2 linked regions of the Nothobranchius furzeri genome follow. The protein of the gene in region 1 purifies or fractionates together with the protein of each later gene. This does not show direct contact. Links are inferred from orthologs where the notes say so. Each region holds a gene or a part of one and is shown in the gene's direction. Other genes may lie near its edges.

Region 1 (4,258 bases):
AAATACTATTTTTTTGTTAACGCTTGCAAAAATGTAAACCTTAATAAACTTCTTATATCGGATATTTTTGATGCTATCCGATACAGTTTTGGGGTAGATATCGAATTACTTCCGATATCGGAACGGGACATCCCTAGCTGGAGCACAGGCAGGCATGTAAGCAAGTGGGTGGAGCCTAAATTTAGAGGCACGGTAGATATAGTGAGCAAGTGGCCAGGGCCTAATTGGCATTCAAGCCACTGACTGTTGATATAATTAGACAAACCCTCTGCGCCGTGTCTCATCACTCCTGGAAAATACCAAAATGGAGCTGAGAGCAGGGCTGAGTTGATGTAGCTATGAGCTAAACAAAGCTAACAGAGGTTGGTGGACGCTTTTGGCAATAAAATTGTGGTTGAGTAACTCTGCCACCCTTTGCCTTCTAGGCTATAACACTTTTAACACGAGACTGATCAGGCCTTCCCCGGAGCAAGCAGGGGGATGAGCTGCTAGCGCTAGCACTGTTGACTCATCTGATACCTGTAAATTAAAAGGGCACGCCCCCACATATTCATAATTTCAAGCTTTCATTGTGGTCGGAGGGACCGGTGGCGCCTGTGCTCGGCAGCCTCACCTCTGTCAGTGCGCCCCGGGACAGCTGTGGCTACATCGTACCTCATCAACACCAGGGTTTGAATGTGTGTGCGAATGGGTGACTGATTGTGTTGTAAAGTGCCTTGGGGGGTTCTAGACCTCTAAAAGGCACTAAATCAGATACGGGCCATTCACCAGTTACATCTAAACAGATTACTAAACCAAAGAAACTCACCTGTCAGAGGTGTCATGACTGTACGCCAGACCTATCAACCCTAAAATGTTTTTGTAAATGTTGATTTCTGCTATGAAGTTAGCATTTTTAACATGGGAGTCGATGGGAACGTGCTCCCTTCTGGATCTGGCCTCTAGTGGATCAGGTGGGAACTGCAGTTTTTGGTACTTCCACGTTGGGGTTGGCTTCAGCTCCTTGATTCAAACGACATTTGTGGAAGAAATGCAATTTTATCTTTTTAGATCTTTTTCAGAAGTGCTGCAAAACCTCTAATGCTGCTTTTTCGTTCTGCTTTTTCATTCCCAGGTGTCCTTTTAGCTCCCAGAGCAGCGCGTCTCTGAAGAGAAGACCGGTGGTTTCCTTCCCTGTTTCGTGTTGCAAACCAGCATCTGGTTCTTCACACTGCCTCTCCGTCTCTCTCCTCCCATCTGTCCCAGCGCTTGTGCCAAAGGCTGTTGCATAACAGCACATTCATCTGCTCTCTGCGTGACTTGTGAGCAACAAGTCCTCTCAAGACCAGACCCGAGTGGCATTTTTCAAAACCTTTTTTTGTTTTTCCCCGCAAAAAAAACAAAACATTTCTTTTTTTCTTTATAAGCAATTAACAGCTATGTTGCACTTGTGCTTAAACAGTAGTCCCACTTAACTCCCCCAGTTGCCCCAGTTGAGCTGCGTGGCCTCATTCTAGATTAGTATGAGTTATGACAGCTCCACATCAACGCCCAGCAGCAGCACACAGGTGGACCAGGAAGCTGAGTCGCAGCAGTTAAATGAGCAGAAGTCCAGCTGTGACCAGTGTGATGTCACAGCTGCAGCTGCAGGGGGATCGTCCCCAGGGGAGGGGTCCGGATCAGGCAGCCCGTCCGGAGACCAAAGGGGGCTGAACTCGGACGACACGGATGGACTGTCCAGCGGGAACGACTCTGGAGAGAGGGACAGCGAGGGCCAGATGGCGAGGGAGAACAGCAGCTCCCGCAGCCACAGCTCCTCTAACGGGAAGGACTCGGGGGTGATGCTGGAGACCACAGACAACAGCAAGAGGTAGGAGGGGCGGGGGTGGGGTAAACGCCACACCGTCTAGCTGAGATCCGTTTATCTGTCGCGTCAGAAACCGAAAATGCTGCTCAGATGATTCCAGGAAGTTCTGCCCTCAGCGTCTGAATCGACAAACCACAGACAAAAGATTCATGTCTTTTGCATTTTACTTCCAAGAAAACCGATCCCCCTGATCCTGACTTTGATCTTCTATTTTATTAAAAGTTTTTCTTCTTTCTCCAGCCCCAACTTCCAGAGTCTGTCCCCCCCCAACGGCTCTCTGGCCTACAGCCTGCTGTCCAACAGCTCGGAGCACGAGCCCCGCTCCACCTCCGGCTGCAGCAGCGACCAGTCGGCCAGGCTCCAGACGCAGAAGGAGCTCATGAAGGCCATCAAGGAGCTGAAGGTCCGCCTGCCAGCTGAGCGCAAAGCCAAGGGTCACTCCAGCACGCTGAGCGCTCTCAAATACGCTCTCCAGTGTGTCCGACAGGTCCGAGGTGAGAGGCGGGGCTTATTTTTTAGGGAAAGAAAGTGGATGGGGCTGGTTTGAGCGTTTTGACTTGGACTCGTTCTGCCTCCCCAGCCAACAGGGAGTACTATCACCAGTGGAGCGTGGAGGAGTGCCACGGCTGCAGCCTGGACTTGTCCGCCTTCACCATCGAGGAGCTGGACAACATTACTTCAGAGTACACTCTCAAAAACACGGTGAGATTCAACACCCTTCTGACTTCAGGGTTAGAATGAAGCTGTGGTGTGGTGGACTGACCCGGGTCTGGTCGTTCCCAGGACACGTTCTCCATGGCCGTGTCGTTCCTGTCGGGGAAAGTGGTGTACGTGTCCCCCCAGGGCTCGTCCCTGCTGCGCTGCAAGCCCGAGTGTCTCCAGGGAGCCGTGTTTTCAGAGCTCCTGGCCCCGCAGGACGTCAGCACCTTCTACAGCGGCACAGCGCCGTGCCGCCTGCCGTCCTGGGCCTCCTGCATCGGCTCAGGTCAGCTGCCTGAAACCAGAGTTAATTCACTGGGAGCTGCAACAAGAAACCTAACAGATTCTGTGCTCCCTCCAGCTTCTCCTCCTGTAGACTGCACTCAGGAGAAGTCCATGTTCTGTCGGATCCGTGCCGACCGGGCCCAGGGGGGCGAGATGAGGTACTTCCCCTTTCGGCTGACGCCCTACCGGCTCACCCTGAGGGACTCGGACGCCGCCGAGCCACAGCCCTGCTGCCTGCTCATCGCTGAGAGGGTCCACTCTGGATACGAAGGTGTGCAGCTACAGCTCAGACGGTTACACCTCTGACAGAGCTCCTAAAGCGATGAGAGCGTGTCATCGCTCTAGACTTAACCATTAACATCTGGTCATAGGAGGTTCGTATATCAGAGATGCACCAAGAAACCGGATGAGGAAGTGAGTCCGTATTGATAATCTGAACTTTAAAAATCAGATTGTCTCTTAAGTTGTGAACGCAGCGCGGTCGAGCTGAAATAATCAGACGTTTTCCCGACCCTTCATCTCACCGCTGCTGATTTACGCTAGAAGTCTTTGACTTCCACGAACATAATCCGATTTTTAAAATGGCTTTTCTGCTTTTTGTGGATCTTTTAAAACAAATCTGTAGCGGCAGGTCTTCGGTACAGGAATCAGAAATCAGTATCGGCCCTCAAAAGATGAATCTTGACATTTCTAAATAAGTTAGTGTTGATGTTTAGCTCTGTAGAACGTTTATAAACAACTAACTTGCAGATAACTCCCAGAACAACCTCAGTTTGGAGAAATGGAGACTAATGTCAGATTGACAAGCTAACTGACCAAAGCTAATCTTATGATTGTGGCTGCTTATCCTGAAACCTCTGGAGGTTTCTTCCTGTTAAAAGGGAGTTTTCCTCTCCACTGTCACTGCATGCTTGCTTAGTATGAGGATTGCTGTAAAGATGCTGACACTAGTCAGTGACTCGATGCAACCTGCTGGCTTCCTTACATAGGGAACTTTTAATCAGTTGGCATAGTTAAATGACCTTTCATCATGTATGTTGTAGCAGAAATATGATGTTCCTGTCGGACATGTTAAAGCTAGCTGCGTCAACTTCTGCTAAAAAATAAAATTAATCACCAATCTGATCAGGTGAAGTCTGCAGCCATAGCTAGTTTATAAATGAGCATTTACATGAATTTATTTTCAATTTCTTGACACGTTTCGTGACAACGGTGCCCACTTTTGTTTTTAGCCCAACTGTACCTAGCCGTTAGCTTATCTCTCCTATCAGAATTGACCTATTTCTCCAAACTGAGGTCGTTCAGCGATCCTTCTCATGATATCGGTCTTCAAAACATCCAAACCAAGTTCTGGAAACAAATGGATACTTTTGTTATCGATGCTGAAATTCAACACAAACGACCAAATCTGGAAAATAAATCCTGGAG
Region 2 (4,398 bases), on another chromosome or scaffold:
CTTTGACCAAGGAAGGACATTGTCCTTGTAATATATTTAAAATTATATTATATTATATTATATTATATTATATTATATTATATTATATTATATTATATTATATTAAAACCAACAGGGAGTCAATTGGTGTGTTCCATTGGGGGACTCGAATATTCTAACTTCAGAGTAGGAACAATTAGCTGGAACGCTCCCAGAAGTCAGATGACCCTCTGAAAGTCTGGGAATTTGTTTTTCTAACTTCAAGGTTCAATCTAGCAGCTTCTCATAACAACAGTAGCTGTGGGTGAAGGAGTTTATTTTACAAGACACCCTTGTAAGGGTGCATCTAAAATCAGTGCTACACGTAGACTAGTGCTATATTTGACACCAAAAGTATGGTTCTGATAATGTCAAAGTCTATAATAGACATTCTATAGCTTAATCTAAATTAAGCACTACACTTTATAAACAGCTCTGCATAATAACTTTTAAGTTAGGAGAAAATAAAATAGTGTAAATAAGATACTATGTCATAATATAATTTCATAAGCAACCTAAGAGGAAAGCAAGCATCCATGTGTGGCATACAGACCCCCTTACGCTGTTTACAGATCATTTTTCGCTACTTTATGTTGGGTGAGATTGCATGGGGCATGTGCACACGACTGGTGTGCACCCATGTAGCCGTATCTCAGCTTAACTTGGAAAAACAACTTAAACTAAGCTGACCTGAGCCGTTTTTCCATTGCAGAATTTCTTGGACATTTTTTACGGTTTTAACTTTTTACATTCAACAACGTTCAACATTAATTCAGGCAAGATTTTCTGGTGTTATTTCACAACTATCTAGGTCTTGCCTAATTTTATTTGAGTTTTTACAAGTTCATGCGAGATGGACAGTGCATGATGGGCAGAGGCCAAGAGGACAAAGGAAACAATCTTTTGTTGTGACTGACCAGACACAATGATTTAGTGAAGATTGGTCTCTATCAGTAAACAAGAACAGAGGTAATGTTCTAGTAGCTATTAAAAATGTTTGAGTGTTGTATTTGCAATACAAAAAGCTTTATCGTTATTTTACGCTTTTCATATTGCTACATTTAATCTGCACAAACCGTACAAACAAAGGAACAAAACGTTACTAATAGGTGTATCTTCACTAACATGCTCTCTGGTGGATTCCTCTCCGCTCATCTTGCCAGGAAGTGACGTCAAACTCCTCCGATAAATTGCCTAGCAAGCTCTAAGCTAGTATCTGTAAGCCAGAGTACCGGAGCTGGTACCTAGCTTCGAAATCCAGCTTCATCCGTGTAAAATAAACGCGTACTGGTTTTTAACAATAGCAGGAGCAGAAAGAACAAGCGCTGACCTTTCCGACAAGCATCGTATTGTTTATAGATAATGTTAATAATATTGTGAAAAAGGAGGCGAAAAAGAAGCCCACAAATCCTGAGAAGACGAAATATATCGCTAAAACAGGATTTTGGATTCATATTTTTTTAATATTGTGTTGCGTTTGAACAAATTAGTTTTGTTACAAATATTGGAGCTAACGAGTGTAGTTGCTAGCCTGTCAGATTTTGTCAACATGGAGTTGAGAGTCGGAAACCGATACAGGCTGGGCAGAAAAATTGGAAGTGGATCATTTGGAGACATCTACTTGGGTATGTAATTTTCACGTTTCTTTCTGTTCACTTCGGCATTAAAAGAGGATAAAGGCCGGCTATTGTAAAGTTTAATCGAGTTTAATTGTGCTCGACTTTGGTAGCAGTTGTCTTTTGTGAGCGTCGTAATAATGAATACTGTGTAAAACAACGAAACTGACGCTAGCTGTGAAGCTAAAGGCTATGTTTAAGTTCCTGTTTCTTTTTTCCTTGTAAACGACGTTAGTCTGTGAGCAAAATGACCGACCAGACCGTGGTTTCAGAAACACTTGCATTTTTACTGGGTGAGAGTTTGTTATATTTACCCATTTACTGACGGTGAAGTATAAGGGAGTAGAATACATTAGGATATACTTTATTGATCCCACAGTGGGAAAATCCACTCGTTAAGGCAGCTCATACAGAGAAATACAGACTGTAGACAATTAATGCAGGTTGGCTGCTTTAAAGCAAAGATGAAGGTGATCCATTCATAGTTCACTACAACTAAAGCATAACCAGAAAAATAAAATGCCTACATTGAATCAAAGCATACTTACGTTTATTCTTGAGTTATATTCATAATAGTTCCAAAGAATAAATGTCCTTTATTTATATATAGCGCTTTCTACAATCCCCAAGGCATGACACACCCTTTCACACTGTTGATGATGAGCTACATAGCAGCCACAGCTGTCATGGGGACACTGATGGAAGCAAGGTGTCTTTTATAGGTTTTAACACCAGTTATGTGATGAAGCTTTTACTCCACAGATATAATTACTTATTAGGTGAAAGCAATTTGTGGATGAACGTGTGTCGATGACCAATACCTTTAAAAGTGACCGTTTTACTACTTGATACTGCTCATACACATGGTCAGAGATATATATACATTTCTACGTCCAAGTACAAGATGGTAAATACTAGGGTTGGGAATTGAAAACCGGTTCTTGTTGAGAACTGGTTCCCACAGTTGCAGTTCCTTGGAATCATTTGCCATTTTTGCATACGATTCCATTATCAATTCCATTTGGCGCAAATTACATCACCACTCATGTTGTGTAGCTTAAACGAGCTACGCGTTTAAGCCTGAGTCATGCTTCTGCGTCAGCTCCACAAGGGACAGACATGCACGGATTGATAGAAGCGTTTTACTGTCATACTTCCCCGTTTGCCCAAGGGGTGTTGCAAAGCAATTCTCTGCCAGGACAACATCGAGTTCTATTTGTTCCGGGAGCCACTTCTGGGACACGTCAATTCCCGCAGTTCACATAGTGCGAGACAGGAAACCACACGGTTTCAGTGTAAAATACCCGGTTATTTTCAAAATAAAATGCAACGTTACAATGTTATATATAACTTACGTCAGTAAGTGTGACCGAACAGCTTTGTTTACCACCAGTTTCTTTCGAGGAGTGCAACGGTGCGATTCTTCGCAGGGGTTGTGATCTCTCGATGAGGAAGGTGTCGGAAGTCTTGAGGGATTTTAGAATCTCGCGGGTACAACGAGGCACAGCGAGGAAGCCGTGCCGCGACCAAGACTCTCCCGGTGTGAAAAGGACCGCTTTAAAGTTCGCGAGTGAGCCGCTCCGCTGCTGTTCCGTTCCGCTGATACTTGCAGTGTGAAACCGGAGTCAGGCTTTACTGGGAAGGAAGAATGGCCTCTAAGTGGCACAAACGCTCAAAAGTTTGGGTATCCTTTAAGAGAAAGGACAACAACAGGGAAACTTGAATTACTTGCAGAATGTTTATTTAATCAATGGAGAATACACTACAAACATGCAATAGCATTTACGTACAAAATATGCGAACACTTAAAGTGAATGTCTTTGTTTTGACCAGCTCCAGAGACTAGTGAATTTCAATGCAGCAGCAGTGGTAATGTTTTCACGTCGTCTTCTGTAGGGCTGCCACAAATGACTAAATAGTCGACTAATCATCAGTTTTGTTGATGATTAGTCCAGGATGCTCTAATATACCCATCATTAGCTTCTAGTTTGAAGTAGGGAAATTATATGCAATTAAATTGTGATGTGACAAAAAAGATTTTCTAATCGCAAAGGCTGCGATTTGACTGGCAGAGAGTGGTTAGCACATTGCTAATATACATTGAAAAACCCTACGGGATGCTATTGATAATATCACTGATTACATTCTTACAAATTATAATTTAGGAACATGCTAAATGATTACTTTTGGAGTCTAATAAAAAGCAAAAACTGCCATCAATCAAAAAAGTACAGACAGATATTTTAATAAATCCAGAAAACACAAGAGACTTTAACTCCACTGAGGTTTGGCTAGCAGCTATGGACGCAACTGAACTACAGAAGCTCTGCATAGACAAGACGTCAAAAACATTAAACACTAAAGAGTAGGGCTGTTCAATTATGGCAAAAATGATAATCACGATTATTGTGACTGAACTTGAGGTCTCGATTATTTAATGTTGATTGATTTTATTTGTTATTTGTTCATAAAATTGCTCAGGGCACAATCGGGACAAAGAAGAAAAAGAAAGAAACCAGATCATAAAAGTTATTCCTGATTCCTAGAATAAAAAGATCAGTATAGTTGCTCAAAGTTTATGACTCAAGGGCTGTAGACCTTGTTTTCACTCGTTTAAGCCTAACCAGTATAGACCAAAAAACCAATATATTGCAAATGCTGACAGGAAGAATTATACTGTGGCATTTATAACATAAACATCTATGTTTAGTGATGTTCACAAAATGTTGCATAATATTTATTTAGTCCTGTCTAGGTGATGTAG

Evidence for each region.
Region 2: the proteins of per1b (region 1) and csnk1da purify together in Homo sapiens (affinity purification with mass spectrometry; 4 studies listed by BioGRID and IntAct, counting the BioPlex papers as one, with this or other methods). This does not show direct contact. The link is inferred for Nothobranchius furzeri from reciprocal best matches to the Homo sapiens genes PER1 and CSNK1D.

Annotation. Positions count from the first base shown.
Region 1 is NC_091742.1:55,050,716-55,054,973, reverse strand, and holds the start of per1b (period circadian protein homolog 1b), read left to right. Parts: upstream 1-1,342; 5' UTR 1,343-1,502; coding exon 1,503-1,849; intron 1,850-2,086; coding exon 2,087-2,340; intron 2,341-2,426; coding exon 2,427-2,548; intron 2,549-2,629; coding exon 2,630-2,831; intron 2,832-2,906; coding exon 2,907-3,101; intron 3,102-4,258. UniProt on the Homo sapiens protein: Transcriptional repressor which forms a core component of the circadian clock.
Region 2 is NC_091758.1:11,453,876-11,458,273, forward strand, and holds the start of csnk1da (casein kinase I), read left to right. Parts: upstream 1-1,336; 5' UTR 1,337-1,567; coding exon 1,568-1,643; intron 1,644-4,398. UniProt on the Homo sapiens protein: Essential serine/threonine-protein kinase that regulates diverse cellular growth and survival processes including Wnt signaling, DNA repair and circadian rhythms. It can phosphorylate a large number of proteins.